Linked DNA regions of Arabidopsis thaliana. The protein of the gene in region 2 purifies or fractionates together with the protein of the main gene of each other region. This does not show direct contact. Each region holds a gene or a part of one and is shown on either strand. Other genes may lie near its edges.

Region 1 (9,523 bases), on a different chromosome or scaffold from region 2:
AACTAACAAGACTCTTCTCGTTTCTACTTATATATGTTTGTAGTAATACTCTAGGTCTCTTGTTTATCTATAGTTTCACCTCGTGATGATTCGTGTGTTTGGAGGATGTCTGTCGAGATTGTTTCTTTCGCATCAGTGAGATTTCCCATGCATTTTAACATGAATCTATACCTCTGTTAGGGATATGATTGATGTGGCTGCTCTAGTACTAGTGCTGCGGTAAGTTTTGGATTGTTTGTGATTTTTGGCCTTCCCCATTTGCTCTGATGGATAATTTATCGTGTAAAAATTAACCAAAATCGATAAGATAATAAGATGATAATTTTTTAAAAATCCCTATGTAAAAATATGGTCCCAATAATATCATAAATTAATAATCATAAATCTAAGCATAGATTCTAACACTAATTTTATATGAAACTTTTATTCAAGTCACAATTACAACTCTCTTTAGAGTACCGTTGGTATGATCTCTTTTGTACTCACGTAACTCTTTGCGCATTTTATCCGTCATATTTGGTTTTGTAACATTTTTTAATCATTGGTAAGATTTGGATAAAGAAAATTTGGATTAAGCCTCACGTTAACGTCGTAAATATACGGACACAATATATTGTAGAAAAATAAATTAAAAAGTCAAGAGAAAAATAATTTTTTTAACAGAATTGAATATACAAACAACAAAACATAAGAAAAACTAAATTAATAAACATTTTTAAAAGACTTTAGTATTGTATTTTACGTAAATATTTCTATAAATTAATATTTATTATTTTATCCTATAAATTAATAAATATTAATTTATAGGATAAATTAATATCACTATAAATTAATTAAATTTTATGGTCCCAACATTATTAATTTATAGAGTTTCTACTGTATTTATAGAGGATGCGAGTTAGGTAATTTATTTTTCTAATAGGATTTTGATGGTTTTACAGTGTTACAATTTTACTATTAGGAAAAGTAAAGTTTCTTTTTTTTCTTAATTTCCTTTTTATTTTATGAAAGTATAATTATCTCAACGGAAATTAATTAGTTTTTTTTCTAATTGTTTGGTTAACGATTGTTCCAACATTATAAAAATCCAAAATTTATGTAACCAGAATTTTCTTATATTTATACATTTTCTATACATCAAACAAGTAAAAATCAGAATTGCTCTACTAAAGTATTACCAAATAAATAATACTAGGATTAAACTTGCGGTTTACCGCGGGAGATTTTTTTATTTGTACAGTTGTCAAAATAGTATTAGAATTATATAATTTAGTTTAACTCGTGTTACGTCCAAATTAGTATTGTAATTATAAATTTAGATATGTCCAAGGTCATTAACAATTCCATTTTACTCATTCTCTATCAAATAAATACAAATTCTAACCCATTATTGCAGGTCGGTATTTGATTTAAATTTTGACCAAGAAATTTTCCATCAAATGATTGATTTGGAAATCATTTTGATTTGGAAAGTTTTAATGGACCGTTAAGATTATTAGTTTAAATAATATCCGGAAAATGTGTGATTGTACCATATTTTGATATATCGAATATTGATTTTTAAATATAATTTATTCCATATGCATAATTATGAATTATTGTAAATTCTAATCCGCTCCACTAATTAATTCGCGAGCTCTTAATATTGTTTGCCAACATAATATTTTTAATAAAAAATATGTAAAATTAATAACTATATTTTTGGTTTATTTTAGATTGATTTTTTATATTTAGTTTTTTTAAATCTTTGAAAAAACAATAAATAGGTGATAAGTATTGAATATAGTGTGTTTAAGAAATATTATTTAAATTTGAAATATAGTGTATTTAAGGAATATAGAGTGATGACCAAATTACCATAGACGATTTTGATTAATAATGTACAAAATCCAAAATTGAAAATTGATGGCAGATTAGACTATTTTTCAATTTGTATTTTCTTTTTAATAATAAGAGGATGTAAATTCAGAATATTTAATACAACTCAAATGCAAATATTTTTCAAATATTCGTAAATATTTTTGTTAAAAGCTTTTTTTGTGTAAATTCTCTAAAATTATTTTAATTATCAAAAAAAAACTACAAATACTGTATTGGATAAATCTCGTTCACGCGTGATTTAATTATGGGCTTTCATTAGGCCCATGATACTGCTAATGGAAAGATAAAGCGTTCTGTCAAAAAAAAATCACTGCAAACAAAAGAAGGTAAAAAAGGATCAATCTTGCCAAGGATCACTCTCTGCCCTCACTTCAGATGGTTCAACTACCTCTGTTTCTCCGCTTTTGTCATCTCCTTCATTCACAGTCGAGCTTTCTTCTTCTTCTTCAACTCTGCCCCATCTTCCTCCAACCGCCATTGCCATCATCTCATATATCTTGTTCCCGAGCTCGGCCGGGCTATCAGGCTGTACAACAAACACATATAAGTGAGTAAAATGGTCCAAGACTTTTACTGGGAAACAAGAAAGGTTTCAGATTTCTTACAGTGAATCCACTTGATATTATAGCAGTGTCATACAAGAGATCGACCACTCTTGTTGCTTCAGTGCTCTCTGGTGCATTCTTACAAGCAGCCTGTACCAAAAGAATACAAAAATTAATAAGGCTTTTTCGAGACAAGAGATTTCTGAGAGAATATTATACCACACACTTACGTTCAAGTCTTTGATGATGGGATGATCTGGATTGATCTCTAGTATTCTCCTACCTCTCATGAACTCCAGGCTTGAAGTGTCTCCAAGAGCCTGTGCCTTCATTAGCCTTTCACAATGAATAAGCACATAAGTCAATGAACAAGCACATAAGTTTTATGGTATGTGGATTTCAGGTTATAAAGCTTTTGCTGAAGTACTAACCTTTCCATATTAGCTGACCACCCGAATTTGCCAGAGACAAGCACACAAGGAGAAGAGCTCAAACGGTTTGAGACTTGGACTTTTGCAACTTTGTCACCGAGCTGCTGTTTTATCCAGTCACAGAGAAGGTTAAACTCTTGTTTCGCTTCCCTGTCCTTTACTTCATCTTCATCTCCTGCGAGAATGGACACGTTTTGTTACAAACAAATGGTTGAGAGAAATGTGCGGGCAGTCAGCAGTGCTAAACCATACTTACCGAGTTCCAAATCTTCTTTACTGATATCAACGAATTTCTTTTCTTTGTAGGTTTGCAAATTCTGAATAGCAACTTCATCGATTGGTTCAACCAAATATAGAACCTATAATTAACAAAAGCAAGTGGTGAGAAAGTCAAATCTAAACAGAAACTCGAAGTTGAAAAACAAGTCTTGAAGCATATACCTCGATATCTTTTTGGATTAGTTTCTCCAAGAAAGGGGCAGACTTGGCACTTTTAAGACTATCAGTTGCGAGGTAGTAGATCGCCTTTTGGTTCTCTCCCATGTTCTCGATATAATCATCCAAGCTTGTCAATTCCTCTTCATTCTTGGAACTGAAGAATCTAAGTAGCGGTGTGATACGCTTGTGGTTACCGGTGTCTTCAATACAACCCAATTTAAGGAATCTACCAAAGTTCTCCCAGAATTTCTTGTAATCCTAGAATTGTTTGTACAACATGAATATCCCTGGCTTTCAAATGAGCTCAAAACAAAATTAGGATAATGAGATACCTACCTCTTTGTTTTCACTCTCAGAGATTTCTTGTATCATGTCAAAGGTTTTTCTAATGAGCCTCTTTCTCATGATTCTTACCTGAACATTATCACGAAAGATAGTACAGTTACAATTTGTGATATTCATATATGATAAACATTTGTATCACTAACAGTTGCACCACTCACAATTCTGCTTTCTTGGAGAATTTCACGAGAAACATTAAGAGGAAGATCATCAGAGTCCACAACTCCCTTCACAAAGCTCAGATATCTCGGGAACTGCAAACAGATTAGGTAACATAGTCAGATAAAAATTGAACCACAAATCTAAAGAGATTTCTACATAAGAAAGAACCCATAAAAGACTCACAAGCTCTCCATCAAAATCGTCAGAGATAAACACACGCTTCACGTAGAGACGAATGTTCTTTGTTTTCGGGTTTGTAACATCTTCATTGTTAAGAGGACCCATCCCAGGGATGTACAAAATGCTCCTGAACTCAACCTCACCCTTTAATAATCAAGACAATACAGAGACTAGTAAGCACCAATTGAAGAATTCATAAATTGACATAAATATAGTGTATAGTGTATAAGTATAAAGACCTCAGTTGTGAAGTGTGTGTGAGCAAGTGGATCCAAGAACTCATTGAAAGCCTTTTTGTAGAACTCATTGTACTCTCCTTTTTCCACTTCCTTCGAATTGCGCATCTATTCAAAGACACAAAATAATCAGTAAACATGTTGAAAGAAAAGTACAAAACGCAGGCTAAAGCTCCAAGGCTTACCCATAGCGGTTTGGTCTCGTTGGCTAGTTCCCAATCCCAATACTTCTCAGTTTTAGTGGTCTTCTTTTTCTTTGGCTCACCCTGGAAACAAACAAGTAACAAAATCAACTCAGTAAACAAAATTCTAGAACAGTCTTTTGGTTGTGACTGTTTGATAGTTGATACACACAATTAAAACAACATAATTTTTTTACCTCTTCTCCTTCCTTAACTGGTTCGTCCTCTTCGACCTACCACAAGTTACAAATTTTAAACCATATTAGCAATGTGAATACACTAATATGATTACAAAAACAAAACTTTCATCCTCACCTCTATAGTCCTTGATTTCTCCTGCCATGTATAGATAGGAAACCCAACGAACTGAGAGTAATTCTTCACGAGGTTCTTGATCCTTGTAGACTCCGCAAATTCGTATTTATCATCCTCCTGCAGCCAGGAATAAGCAGTCAAACAAACTATAAGAGATCTGACGCATCAAATGAAAGGATGAATGAATAAAGAAAAGTACCCTCAGATACAAGGTGATTTGTGTTCCACGACGTAGAATGTTATCAGGGTCTGTTTCTTCTCTGATCAGATACGAGCTACTATCGGCAACCGATTCCCAAACATATTGCTTGTCAGATTTGGGGCTTTTGGTGGACACAACAACCTGAAAGCAAAGACAATTGTACGTCCATTCCTCGTAAGAAATACATTAACCAGAAGACACTAAAAAACAAAAGTTGAAAGTCTTCACCTTCTCAGCAACTAAGAAAGCAGAGTAAAACCCAACACCAAACTGTCCGATCAAACCGTTGTCAGCACCAAGGTCCTTGTTTTCCTGAATAAAGAGAGCAATAAAACAATGAGTCCGAAAACATGACATCAAAGATTTGCTAGCAACAGGTTTTCAAAGAGATGGAAAAAAAACCTTTAGAGCCTTCAAGAATTTCGAAGTACCACTTTGAGCAATAGTTCCAAGGCAATCAATAAGTTCTTCCTTTGTCATTCCAATACCAGTATCACTGCATATACGCATCAAACCTCTCTAAGTAAACCTGTTCTATTCAATTTTCAATACTTAAGTAAAACAAAAAATGAGAAGTCTCTCATACGTTATGGTGATGGTGCCGTTATCAGGATCAGGCTTAATCCTAATCTCAAGATCTCCACCATCTCCAAGCAAAGAAGGCTCTGTTACACTCAAGAACCTCAGCTTATCCAAAGCATCACTTGCATTACTGAACATACACAGACACATTCAAAATCAGATTTTGACAGAAACACACAAATCATTTCCAAAACAATCCATCAAAATTGACTCACCTTACAAGCTCCCTGAGAAACACCTCCTTGTGACTGTATAAGCTATGAACAATCAAATCCAACAATCTACTAACCTGTGATAAGATTTCAACAATCAAATCTTAAAACTTTATATCCCCATCAAGTTGAGAGATACCCAGAAAACAAGATTGAAACTTTAGGAGATATGAAAGAGAACCCACCTCAGCTTGGTACTCAAACTTCTCACCTGACCCTTCTTCAGTGGTCTCTTTCTCCGCCACGGCGGCGTCACACTTCACGGCGAATCGGTTACATCTCTTTTCGAGATTCCAGCTACACGAAACGCCGGTTCTTAAAGCGCCGCCGTGTGGGAGAAACGAGCTTCTCAGATGAGAGAGACGAGAAGAGACAGGAGTGATTGGAACTGAAGTCAAAGGAGATGTGTAGAGACTTCTACTCAAAGCAGGAGCCATTAGATTTGAAAGTTGTGAAGGAAAAGATTTGAGATTTTTTTACAATCTCTCAATCTCTAAAGAGAAAAGAGTTTGTAGTAGTTGAACAAAGAGTAACCTAAAAACCCTATTAAAGGTTTAAGGAGAGTGAGGTAAGAGAGGTTTCTAGAAGAAGAGCGTATAAAGAGAAGAGATGTTTAGAGATTGTGAGGTCTACGAGAAGCCATTTCATCAAAACCGTAGGATTATCCGTTTGATTTACACGCGCCTCTCCTTGAGAAATTGTAGCTGACACACACACACACACCAAATGCAAACCAAATTGAAAAAACACCTTATTGGGCCTACACGTTAACCCATAATGGGCCTATAGCCCGTATAAAGTAAAACGAAAGGTTATGGCTGGAAAATGTTTCGTATCAAATTGGCCCATATCAAGAAAGAGATCTTGAATATTTGTTTTTTTTTTTTTTTTTCGTAAATTATATATATGAAAGTTGGCCAACTCTCTTCATATGATAGACACATCATCACTTTAGCATTTGACATGTGTTTATTAAATAATTAATGTAATCTCTTCAATTTCAAATCTATAGTTTAATGATATATTTATATTTAATTTTACATATTATTTTATTATACATATTTAATTGTACTTTTACTAAATTTATTTTAATATCACATGATTTTTTAATAAAATCATTTTAATAGTTTTCTCATACTCGAAGATTTTTATGGTAATCCAAACTCAAAGTATGAGTATATTACTTAATAATTTAACTAAGTTATTCTCTTAAATTGATGTTTATATTCTCTTAAATTGATGTTTATATTCTCTTAAATTGATATTTATATAATAAATAACTGAGGGTGAAGAATATGTAAGGAGCTCCATCATTAAATTCTTAGGTTTATAGAATCCAACACTACCCTCTGTTAAATTGGTTTAAGATAAACATTGTTTAGAAATTATGTGTATGATGCATTGTTGAGAATGTGGTTAGAAAAAAATATTTTAATACTAAATGTAATTGCTTATTGCATGAGTAAATGATAAGATAAATAAAAATTATATTTAAATTAAACAATACAAAAACATCCGAAAAAACCGTGGTGTAGCGCGGATGATCACCTAATATTTCATAAAAATGAAAACATGATAGGTTTACAATCGATGATTTTCAACCTAAGCTAATGGTTCCATGGCAAAAAAAATAAAAACATGGAAGCATAAAAATAACCACATACATAGTGACATATACCAAGATAAAATGATATTAAAATTTTATTGATTTAGAAATTATGAGAAGGTGTGCACTAAATAAAATACAACAATGTTGATGCTAACGAAGATACACGATTGCTAATTATTGGAAATATCGAAACCATACGTTATAGACTCCATACCCATAACTAAATTAACCAAAACATATATAGTTACCAACTTCTCACTGTCCTCTACTTATTTTGCAACTTTTCCTTTTTTTATTACGACTATAATACAGTATGTGGGTATTGGGTATAACCTAAAAACAAAATATTTGCAATTTGGTCAAAAATTTGCAATTTCTTTTAAGAATAATAAAATGATGCAAATGATGTTTATTTGTCCTATTTTTGGATCCAAGGCAGGTATTTATGAATGGTCTACTGAACAAAAGTAATATCTGATGGAGAGCGGAAGCTAAATAACGGACGAAAACACAAAATCTCTATGAGAACTCGGATTAACGAACGGATTTTGTTTAGAACGCCGAAACTTGATGAAGAAGCAATAGAGATAAGGTCGAGATCGATAACGATATCGATGAGGTTTTGCAAATCCTCCTTGCAGGGCTTGAACACAAGCTTTTAGGGTTGAGAGTCCTCCTCTCTAGGCTTTAGACAAGCTCTCTTAAAACTCGTTTATTCAATAATCAAAAACTAATTACAATAATGAATTACATCTCTTAAAATAAGAGAAAAAGAATGGAAACCCTAGCCTAAAGAATAAGCAAACTAATATCAAATATTCAAAGCCCAAATATACATTAATTAAGTCCATATGAAACTAAACCCAAAAGTAAAGCAATAAACAATCTCCTCGGACGTGATGAATACCGGAGGAGCATTTGTCTTCAAGATACGCTGCATCAATATCAGAACAAGGTAAAAAAAGTTTTGGAAGTGTTTGAATTATAATGTTCAATAACAGATATTTACCCCCAAAAAAAAGAATAAGAACAGAAAAAAAAGACTATGTAAAATTTTTTTTTTTACATCTTTGTATCGACAAGACCCGATCAATACTCAATCCCTACTATGCGGGATTGCGGGATAACGCAACTTAGTGAAATCGAATTCCGGTGGAGAAGGCGGAATCAAATGGTTAAGTCCATTTGACTAAAAGCACATCCTCGTATGTAAGATATCTAGAGAATTCAAATTGGTAAATAAAAAACCACTTAATTTTGATAATTATATAGGCTTGTATTGGGTATAATTGAATATCTCTCTCTATATAATAAAAGTTAGTAACACAGAAAACAGAAAAGAATATTTATTTATATAATATATATATATATATATATATGAATATACGATATAATGATTATATAGAAGTCTTGAATATTAAAAAGAGTGTGGTTCATCGTAAGCCGGTGTGGAGGTAGACAAGCACAAAGCACGCAAATTTATGAATTACAATTTACGTAATGTTGTTTTCTTGTTTACAAATACCAATTTTTAACGGACCACAATTCAGTCTCCATCCTTCGATGTTTAGAGATTTTTAGACGCAACAAAAAAAAATTGATCAAACTTTAAATCTCTTAAATTATAAATCAAAGTTTAGAATAAAACGGATCTCTTAGATTTTGGAAATTTAAGAGAGATGAATTATGTATTGTTTATAAAGTTCATTTTGTCAGAGAAAAAAAGGTAACTAATTTCAGCTTATTCTTCTTCTATGTTGTCCGTACAATATAAAGTTCATTTTTTTAGTACCGAGGACTCTTTGTGAAAAACGAAGGATTATGAGATATCTAGTAGTTTAACAAAACATAAATAGAAATTAGGGCATTGAGATTAACAAATTACTTTCCACAAAATAGAGAAACATGTGCAAACTCGAGCATCTATGCAGACTAGTCTCCCTTTGTTTTATCAATTTGCGAGAATACTTGAATATAACTTTTTAAAAAATCATGGGAAGAAAAGAATTGTTGTTGACATAGTTTGAGTCTTTTGATCTCCTAGGTCTTAACATTTATTACCTTATAAATTATTTGAACAATACATATGGTGTATAGAGCAGTAGAAATACAACTTTAAAAAATATAATTTTAACTTTGTATACTGATACAAGTTTAATCAATAAAAGTTCGACTATTCCAAAGGTTATAAAATTAGTGAAAATCT
Region 2 (8,485 bases):
GAAAGTTTAAGGCATTACCTTCACCATAAGCATTGTATGGTAGGCGGGCTTGTCTCCCTTGTTGTGGCTGATATTGAGGCTTAGACTGATCTGACTGTGCTGGAGCTTGATACCTGAACACAATTATAAGCATTTATATTGTAGCTATATCTTAAGAAGCGAGGATACCATGTGAAGTAAAATTCCATAAAAATATGATTCTGTGATGATTCTTTTGAGATAAAATTATTCAAAGCAAACGAACTCTATGAATCAAGACTTCCCAAGTTCCAACAAAAGGATGAAGAAAAGTATAACTCACCCAGGAGAATCTTTGTTTAGCTCGCTCAATGACAATGTGATTGAAATCATGGAAACATGGCGCGTCAACTCCACCCTGCATCATATGGACAATTCACTTGAGGTTACAGAAAAACAAAAGAAAAGAACAGAGTAATGCAAGACACTTACGGAAACAAACCCTCCTCAGTAGGCTCCCAGACATCAGTAATGCTAATAGAACTGATTGCAATATCTTGATGCAAACCTGGGATTTTATTCTGCAGTATGAATTACAAAGTCAGCTACTTGTATAAATCCCAATTAGATGATAAATACTTCACAAAGTTCATAAGAAGAAAAACGCTGACTTTTAGTATCTCAGAGATAGCCACAGTCTTGCTGATTGCCTGCCCCATTGCCTTCAACACAATGTCTTTAACACTTTTCTCCTGAAACCAAAAGAAACGGATCATCATTATTTCAAGTACATCACATCGCAAATAGAGTCATTTTTAGGATCAGAAATGCAAAAAAAAAAAAAAAAAACGAAATCAAAGTAAAATGGTGCATGATGACACATTTGAAACCAAAATGATCGAAAAGAGAAAGGACCCAAAAAAACCGTACAACAGAGTAGCCGAAACACAAGTCCAATGAAACATTACACACTCCAGTGAGCATATACGACGGTGAATCACGATTTTAGCGAACGACTTGAAACAAAGTAGAAGAGAGAGAGAGAGTACCTGAAGAAGACTGGTGGCATAACTGATGTAGTTTCGGATAAGGCCTTTACTGGTGATACGGATCTCATTCTCGTTAATCGGAGACTCTGGTTTCGGTTTAGCGACTCTCTGGTATCTATCCATTTTACCAGAAGATGAAAAGATCGAAAACCCTAGGTTTTAGAGAGAGAACAGTGAACGACGCTCTGGAGAAGAAGAAAGGACAGAGATGAGATTTAAGGATAGAGAAACCCTTAGTAATAAACCCTAGAAGGAGAAGAAGGAATCGCGAGTTTCAAGATGAAGAAGAAAGAGCATCGGGAAAGGCCGATAGTAATACCAAGGGACACCAAAGAGCCTTGAGTTTTTAATTTTTACTATTGACTAGGCCCAAAACGGTCTTTCGTCAAACCGCTTCAAAACGGGTCAGATATTTTCGGATCCGGATCCGATTTTCGGGGAGGTTAGTATGTCTTTTACGTGCGTTAGTTGCACGTGGATAACACGAATGACCAGATATCCATCCATCAATAATAATCTCCGTTTTAACCGCCGCGGATCGTTGATAACAAGATTTTTTTTACTTTCTTCTTTTCAAAATTTCAAAACTTTTCCATCAGTTAAGGAGAAATTTAAAATGGAATGTTTTGGAGTAGTATTAAGTATTTAGTCCAACTGTATCTGGTTATTTCGATTAGTGTAAAGGTCCTAACTTTTGGGATTGTGAATGAGCCACTTTCATTTAGAAGACTAACACGGTAGTGGAATTTCTTGGTTGAAGCCGATACTCAAATAACAATGTCAACAATATTAAGGTCTTAACAAAGTAATGTTTACACAGAATTACAGAACAATCAGCTGACCATATTAAATCTTACTTAAATGAATTTCGAAAAAAAACAGTGGAAACTGCTGTGAAGTGAGCTGTTTAGTCATTAGCACTGACTCATGAGACCAGCAAAAAAATGTTGTCTTTGAGTGAAGAGAAGACCTGATTGTTGACTTTCAAAGACAACACATGACAATCAATCTGTTTGGTAAGCTCATGGCGTTTAGTAGTTATGTGAATATCCATCCCTGATTTTCACAGTACAGTGTGCAGTATCTTGTATGATGAAGCTTGCCTTGGCCGCCTAAGATGAGAGGCTCACATAGAAAGAGCCATTATCAGTTCTGAAATAATGCTTAATCGCAGGAATGTGTTTAACCCTTGACCGGTCCACACTCCCTTCTCCGCGAATGCGTTCTACTAACTGATTAGAAACATGAATCAAATGCAGTTCTTGAAGATTTATAAGATTCTCAATTCCTCTTGGTACGTACTCTAACCCTCTACAAGCCCTGACATAAAGCTTCTGAAGCTCAAACATTGCACCGTCTTCTATAACAACTTCTGTCAGATGTTTCATCTGAACTATCTCTAGAATCTTCAGATTCTGAAATCCTTGTGCAAAACGCAACCTAGGTCCCATGTATGCATTGTAAAATGAAAGCCATACCAATCTAGGAAGCGTTTGGATAGAGAGAATGGCGTTTTCCTGTAGCTGAGATCCACGCAAACCCAAATAGGTAAGGTTTTGAAGAGTGTTGAACCAACTTGGTACTCTCTCCAGTTTCCCAGCAAGAAAGAGCTTCTCAATGCTTGCAGTTGCGATCAGGTCATCTATCTCTAACGGTTCCTCTTCATCAATCGACGTTAAAGATAAGAATCGAATTCTTTTAATCTTATTCAGTGAATCGCACAAGTCTCTTCCATGTTCTCTCCTAACCATGACAAGACTTATTCTTGTGAGCTGAGTCATACACCCGAGATTTTTGATAAGCTCATCTTCTGCGTTGAAGCAGTCCATGACTTGCAAATCCTTCAACTGCCAGATTTTAGGAACAACCCTTGTACCTAAAACATAATTCCAATTGGAATCATGTCCTTCATTGCGGCGAAAAGTAATGAGATATCGCAACTTCTTCAATTTCCACATCCCTAGAGGAAGTTCCTCAATCTTGGAGTGCTTTGTGTTCAACGTCTCCAAATTGACGAGTTTATGGAAGTTTTTTGGCAGTTCTTTCACCTGTGTCTTGGACAAATTCAAGTACTTTAAGTTGAACATAGTTACTAAACAATCTGGTAACTTGCTGATGGAAGAGTCTTCAAGGTCTAAGGCTCTCAGAAGGTTCAGACTTGGAAGTAATTCCATCTTGTGTTTAGCAGAAGAGCAAACCAAAAGAGAGTGAAGGTTTGTTGCACGTATACTATCAGGTGTCATCTCTTTCTGAATGCATAAATGGCGACTACCGTAATTCTCCATTGTTTCTGCAGCATCATCACCATCACTGTCATCATTATATACATCACAGAACCTCTCAAGTTTGGATACAGATAGAGCAATCTCCCATATCACGTCATGCATCTTGAACGCCTTGGGTCGTCCAAAAGGATTCCACAAGATAACTTGAAGCATATTTCTGTAAACAAGTTCATTGAGGTAACTATCAGCCACTTCTTCTGCTTTCACTCCTCTGATCGGTTCCACAAACCTTTGTGCCATCCACATCCTAATGAGCCTCTTTCTTTTCATCCGATAGTTCACAGGGAAAAGAGAACAATATAAGAAACAACGTTTAAGCGGGTATGGCAAATCATTGAAGCTAAGGAACATAATGCTTCGAACAATCTTGAGTTCATGATTGTTGTTCAGTTCCCAGTTTAAAGTACTGTAGACTTTCTTCCATTCTGATTCAAACTTCTTGGTTGACATCATGCTTCCCAAAGAAGCAATAGCTAATGGCAAACCCTGACATCTCTCGACTAATTTTCGTGCTATCGGCTCCAAATTCTGCGTTCTGCATTGCTCAAGACTTGCCGGAAAAGCTTTGTTGGAGAAAAGCACCCAAGCTTCGTCTTCTTTTAAGAGCTCAATCTCGTGCTTTGTGCTCCCAATTCCATATGGGAAAGAAGCCACGTTCATGTCCCGAGTAGTCATCATAACACGACTTCCATAAATACCATCTGGTAAAGCAATACTTATCTCCCTCCATAGACCAGTGGTCCATACATCATCAAGCACAACAATGTACCTCTTCGACTGCAAATACTCCACAAGTTTTTCCACCAACTCTCTGTAGCCTAAGGAGTATAATTCAGCTGGAATCTGTGTATCTGCTTCTTTGTAAAACTCCTTGATCATGGTCCTAAACACATCTTCAATCACATAAGATTTCGAGATTGTAACCCAAGCGTAAGACTCAAAATGCCTCCGCACACTTTGAGACTTGAAGATATTCGCTGAGAGTGTAGTTTTCCCTGAACCGCCCATCCCAACCACCGCGACAACAATCCGCTGAGGTTCGGGACTTAGAAGCCGTCCGATGAGCTTTCCCTTGGGTGCATCAATCCCTACAAGACTATTTTCACTAAAGAAAAGAGATGACTCACTGATGTTGTTCACCCACTTTGCATCGCCATCATCAATAGGCGGTAATAATGCTGCTTGGTAGTTTTCTGAATGATAGTACCTTTTCATGGAATCAGAAATGGATTGAATCATGACATTAACCATTCCTAGCTTTTGAGCTATCGAGTGCCTCGCCCACATATACCTCGGGAAATGAAACGCACGCCAAATTTTGGCGCAGCTACGATAACCGTGGATGTGATAGCCAAACTCGTCGAGAATGTCTTCGATTTGGTAAGCCAAATCTCTCGTGTTTGCCACAAAAGTTTGGAAGAGTTGAGTTGTTGTTGTTGTGGATCCATTTCCACCATGTTTATGAGTATCCTCAAGAAAGGACTTCATGATCAGCAACTCCTTCTTCATTTTATCAATCTCACCATGGACTCCTGACAATAACAAGGTCTCGTTTTCCAGGACACTAAGAATCCGTCCGATCCCAAAATCAACAGTAGCCGAAGCCATCTTCCTCAGAGTCTCGCTTGAACCTTTTTTCCTTCACTGATTTAGTTTCTCTTGGTGAACTTGCTGAATTTGAGCAAAGCCAAGCTTTCGGTTCACACCTTACATGCCTGCCACATAACATTTTGATCAATTATCCTTAAGGACCTCAACAAAGTCAACGTCCTTTACTTGCGTTAAAGTCAACACGGGTTTAAACTGCTTTCACATTTGCAACTTGGAATTCAATTTGACGGATATGGTCGAGTTTGGAAGTTCCAAGAGAGAGACAGAGAAATCTGATGTACTGAACTCGGGTGTTGTTTTCGTCATTCGTTACCTGAAACTGAAAGGGTAAAAGATTATTACTTTCTTCTGAAGGGCGAAGAAGTACACTTACCTCAATGATTTTTGAATGTTCTTAAGATATTTGTTAAGCAAAGCAGAATTGGAATAGAAGAAACGTTAATTAAAGAAATCAAAATCGCTTCAGTATTACTACTAGTTCATGAAGCACATATATCAGAAAGTTTAACCGACCGACTCATAAACGCCAAATACAAAAAAAAAAAAAAAAAAAAACGTTGTGGTTTCCAATCACTCATTCTTCAGGCAAAAGTCCAGCCATTGGGATTTTAGCATCAATCTGGAATTCTTCGTCTTCTCCATCTTTGTTCTTCCTATAATCCACTTTGAAATCATAATCTCCGTCCATCAGATCCTCCTCATCAGCTCCTGCTTTCTTTGCTTTCTTCCTCTTCTTCTTCTCTGCTTTCTGTTTCTTTGTATTCAACATGCTTTCCGCTGCGTATAGCTTCACGTTCTGCCTCCCCGTCTCTGATTTCTCCTTCGTCTTTCCTGCCTCTTCCTCCTCCTCCCCTCCCATTGACTCATCATCATCACTCTCATGCTCAGCCTCCTCTTCCGTCTGCGTCTTAGACTCATCCTGTTTTTTTTTTTTGTGATACATCATCATAAACAAAGATTAAATCCAGACCGAGTCATTTACAAGCAAATGGAATCACGAGAGAAGTTACCAACCTCGATCATAGTTTCATCGAAATTGAGAGGACCATTTGAAGGAATAATAACAGGGTTGAATTCGTTAACCGTCTTCAAGCTCCCAATGAAAGAGGATTCACCACTGTAAACCTCATCGATGTTGAAATCCTTGGCCAGCTCAGTCACAATCTTTGACTCTGCATGTCCACCCTGGTCCCTCTTTGGCGGCATTGTATAGTATGGGATTTTACCTGCATAACCATTCATATTAGAGACAATGATGAGTTAAGAAACTGGTTTTCAAAAATGCTTTTACGCTTCAAGTTTACGAGGAACAAAAAAAGATCCGCACCTTCATTCCAGTCATGCAAAACAATTCTGGCAGCAGCATCAATATCCACAAGACCACCCTTTTTAAGTTTACCCCTTACAGTGGCGACTTTGTAAAGGAAATCATCAACTGCCTCGAAGCTCGGGATTTTGTAGAGAGTCACCAGCATATCTTTAGGACAAAGCTTGAGAATTTCCTTCACTATTTTTTTCACAAAGCAGAAGATTTCCAAGTTAGGTCACTCAGATTATAACCTTTAAAAGACAAAGCACAAAAATAAGTGTGATTCTATCTTGAGCTTATATCCAATTACCTGGACTAACTGGGTCATCCAACTTCTCGATTCTTTTACAATTTCGGAGAGCTATGGAAGCATCATTTCCTGATGATTTCAACATCACAACTCCAGGACAATCCAGCAACTTCACGTTTTTGTCCAAGTGAACCTCTTGCAGAGATCTAGTCAGTCCAGGAGTGGCACCAACATTGACAACATGCGCTCTCTTCAGACTGTTAATAAGACTACTCTTGCCGACATTAGGCAGTCCAATAATACCAACTGTGATAGATTTTTTTAACTGCCAAAGAACAACAAAGGAAGATTTAATTGAAACTGAATGATATAACTTGATGCTAAGGTAGGATGATTAAAGTTTAAACTATGGAACCAACCTCATGACTTCTTGAGTAGTTCTTCAACAATTTGATAAGAGTGTCTGCTCCAAGACAATCACTCGTCTGCAACATATTGCTTGGTTTTGATGCCTTAGATGATTTCCAACCCAAGTTTGATCTCTGTTCCTGGGTGCTACACTTGAAGGCAACAGCTGGAAATTCTTCCCTAAGGTACATAAGCCATTTCTCAGCAGCCTCTCGGGGAACAAGATCTGGAGAGAGTGAATCAGTTACAAAAATTAATTACACCACCCAGAGTAAACAAACAACTTATTACGTCCACGAGTAAAGACTGAATATATGAACTTACCAATCTTGTTCAGCAGCAACACAAGATGCTTATTGGGACCGGCTTGCATCACCATCCTCTCCATGTCAGTACAACGAGTGCCAAGAGGATCACGGGCATCAAGAACCTCCAAAATGACATCAGACAATTCAATGACTTTAACTAGCTCCTTGTAGAAAGCCCTCTCCGAGTTATCTGTGAAACAAAAGACATTAGTGCATGTAAAGGCAGAGAGAAAGCACATAAACGCGTGAAGAAGGTATCCAAAACAACTCACCTCGAACATTGACAACTTTAGGTAAGTCCTCTATGGTCTCTCCTTCTGTCTTGGTATCCTCATCATCAACCAAACCAAGTTTCCTCTTTTTGGCCTGAATAGATTTATTAGGAGAGATCAGAACACAAGCACCACTCCAAAATACGAGTAAATCAAACAGCAAGACATGAAAAATGCAATCTTTTATCAATCAATCAAAACTCAGAACACAAAGGAAATAGCTTTAAGAATTTCGACCTGAACTTAAAGTTATATGATTACTAAATATCTGAACATGTATCATAGCTGTGAGTTACAATGTTAAAAGAATGAGATTACCCTTTCTTTGCGAGCTTCTTTCTTCTGTTCAATCTCCTCAAGAGCACGGGCACGTCGAACTTCAAGGGCTTTAAGCTCTTGTTCCTTGAAAGGCCAGTCATTGGGTATACCTGGGTCTTTCTCTACTCTTGGCTTACGGTGAAGGCCAAGCTTTTTAGCATCCTTTGCCTTCTTCTTGTGGTGCTCCTTCACCTTTTTCAGGACCTTATGCTTCTGCTTCAAGGTCACCCTCTTACTCTTACTCTCTGCAAAAAACCATCAAACCAATCAATAAAACCCCAGTAGGAATCCTGAACTGAATGATATGATTCAAATTCATTCAATAAGACAGATCCAGAATATCAATATGATTGAAGGATGTATCTTACTTTTACTCCGTTTCACCATCTTTCTCGCCCTGGGATGAGAGCGACGCAAACAGAAAAACTGAGTAGGTTAAAAGAAAAGGGTTTATGGAGAAGGAAGATGGACATATCGGCGCCAAATTAGGGTTTTGCTATTAGATGTACTTGGATCATTACCCGACCCGTTATAGTTGACCCGAATCAACTTAAAAATATTGAAAAAATAATTGGGGTGAGAGAGGCTCGAACTCTCGACCTCAGGATTACTCAGATAGCTATGAGACCTACGCGCTAGCCAACTGCGCCACCACCCCGATGTTAGTAATCTTTACTGATTATGTAATTAACTTCAATTGACATTCGTTATCCAAAG

What was found.
Region 1: the proteins of RPM1 (region 2) and CR88 purify together in Arabidopsis thaliana (affinity purification with western blotting, with the first as the bait; one study listed by BioGRID). This does not show direct contact.

Annotation. Positions count from the first base shown.
Region 1 is NC_003071.7:1,278,605-1,288,127, reverse strand, and holds CR88 (Chaperone protein htpG family protein), read right to left. Parts: upstream 6,375-9,523; 5' UTR 6,146-6,374; coding exon 5,894-6,145; intron 5,786-5,893; coding exon 5,712-5,785; intron 5,627-5,711; coding exon 5,501-5,626; intron 5,411-5,500; coding exon 5,317-5,410; intron 5,227-5,316; coding exon 5,143-5,226; intron 5,056-5,142; coding exon 4,912-5,055; intron 4,830-4,911; coding exon 4,713-4,829; intron 4,631-4,712; coding exon 4,595-4,630; intron 4,482-4,594; coding exon 4,401-4,481; intron 4,324-4,400; coding exon 4,219-4,323; intron 4,124-4,218; coding exon 3,983-4,123; intron 3,892-3,982; coding exon 3,799-3,891; intron 3,710-3,798; coding exon 3,632-3,709; intron 3,554-3,631; coding exon 3,299-3,553; intron 3,217-3,298; coding exon 3,114-3,216; intron 3,033-3,113; coding exon 2,858-3,032; intron 2,763-2,857; coding exon 2,657-2,762; intron 2,577-2,656; coding exon 2,487-2,576; intron 2,408-2,486; coding exon 2,219-2,407; 3' UTR 1,984-2,218; and 1 more. UniProt on the Arabidopsis thaliana protein: Molecular chaperone required for chloroplast biogenesis. Essential for chloroplast biogenesis and maintenance, and thus for embryogenesis. May be involved in the disassembly of VIPP1 for thylakoid membrane formation and/or maintenance.
Region 2 is NC_003074.8:2,224,125-2,232,609, forward strand, and holds RPM1 (NB-ARC domain-containing disease resistance protein), read right to left. Parts: upstream 5,432-8,485; 5' UTR 4,901-5,431; coding exon 2,120-4,900; 3' UTR 1,731-2,119; downstream 1-1,730. Other genes in the region: AT3G07030 (Alba DNA/RNA-binding protein), read right to left, coding at 19-113, 302-376, 451-539, 630-710, 1,008-1,130; NSN1 (GTP-binding family protein), read right to left, coding at 5,478-5,822, 5,918-6,129, 6,231-6,410, 6,523-6,787, 6,882-7,096, 7,195-7,368, 7,451-7,544, 7,769-8,013 and 1 more.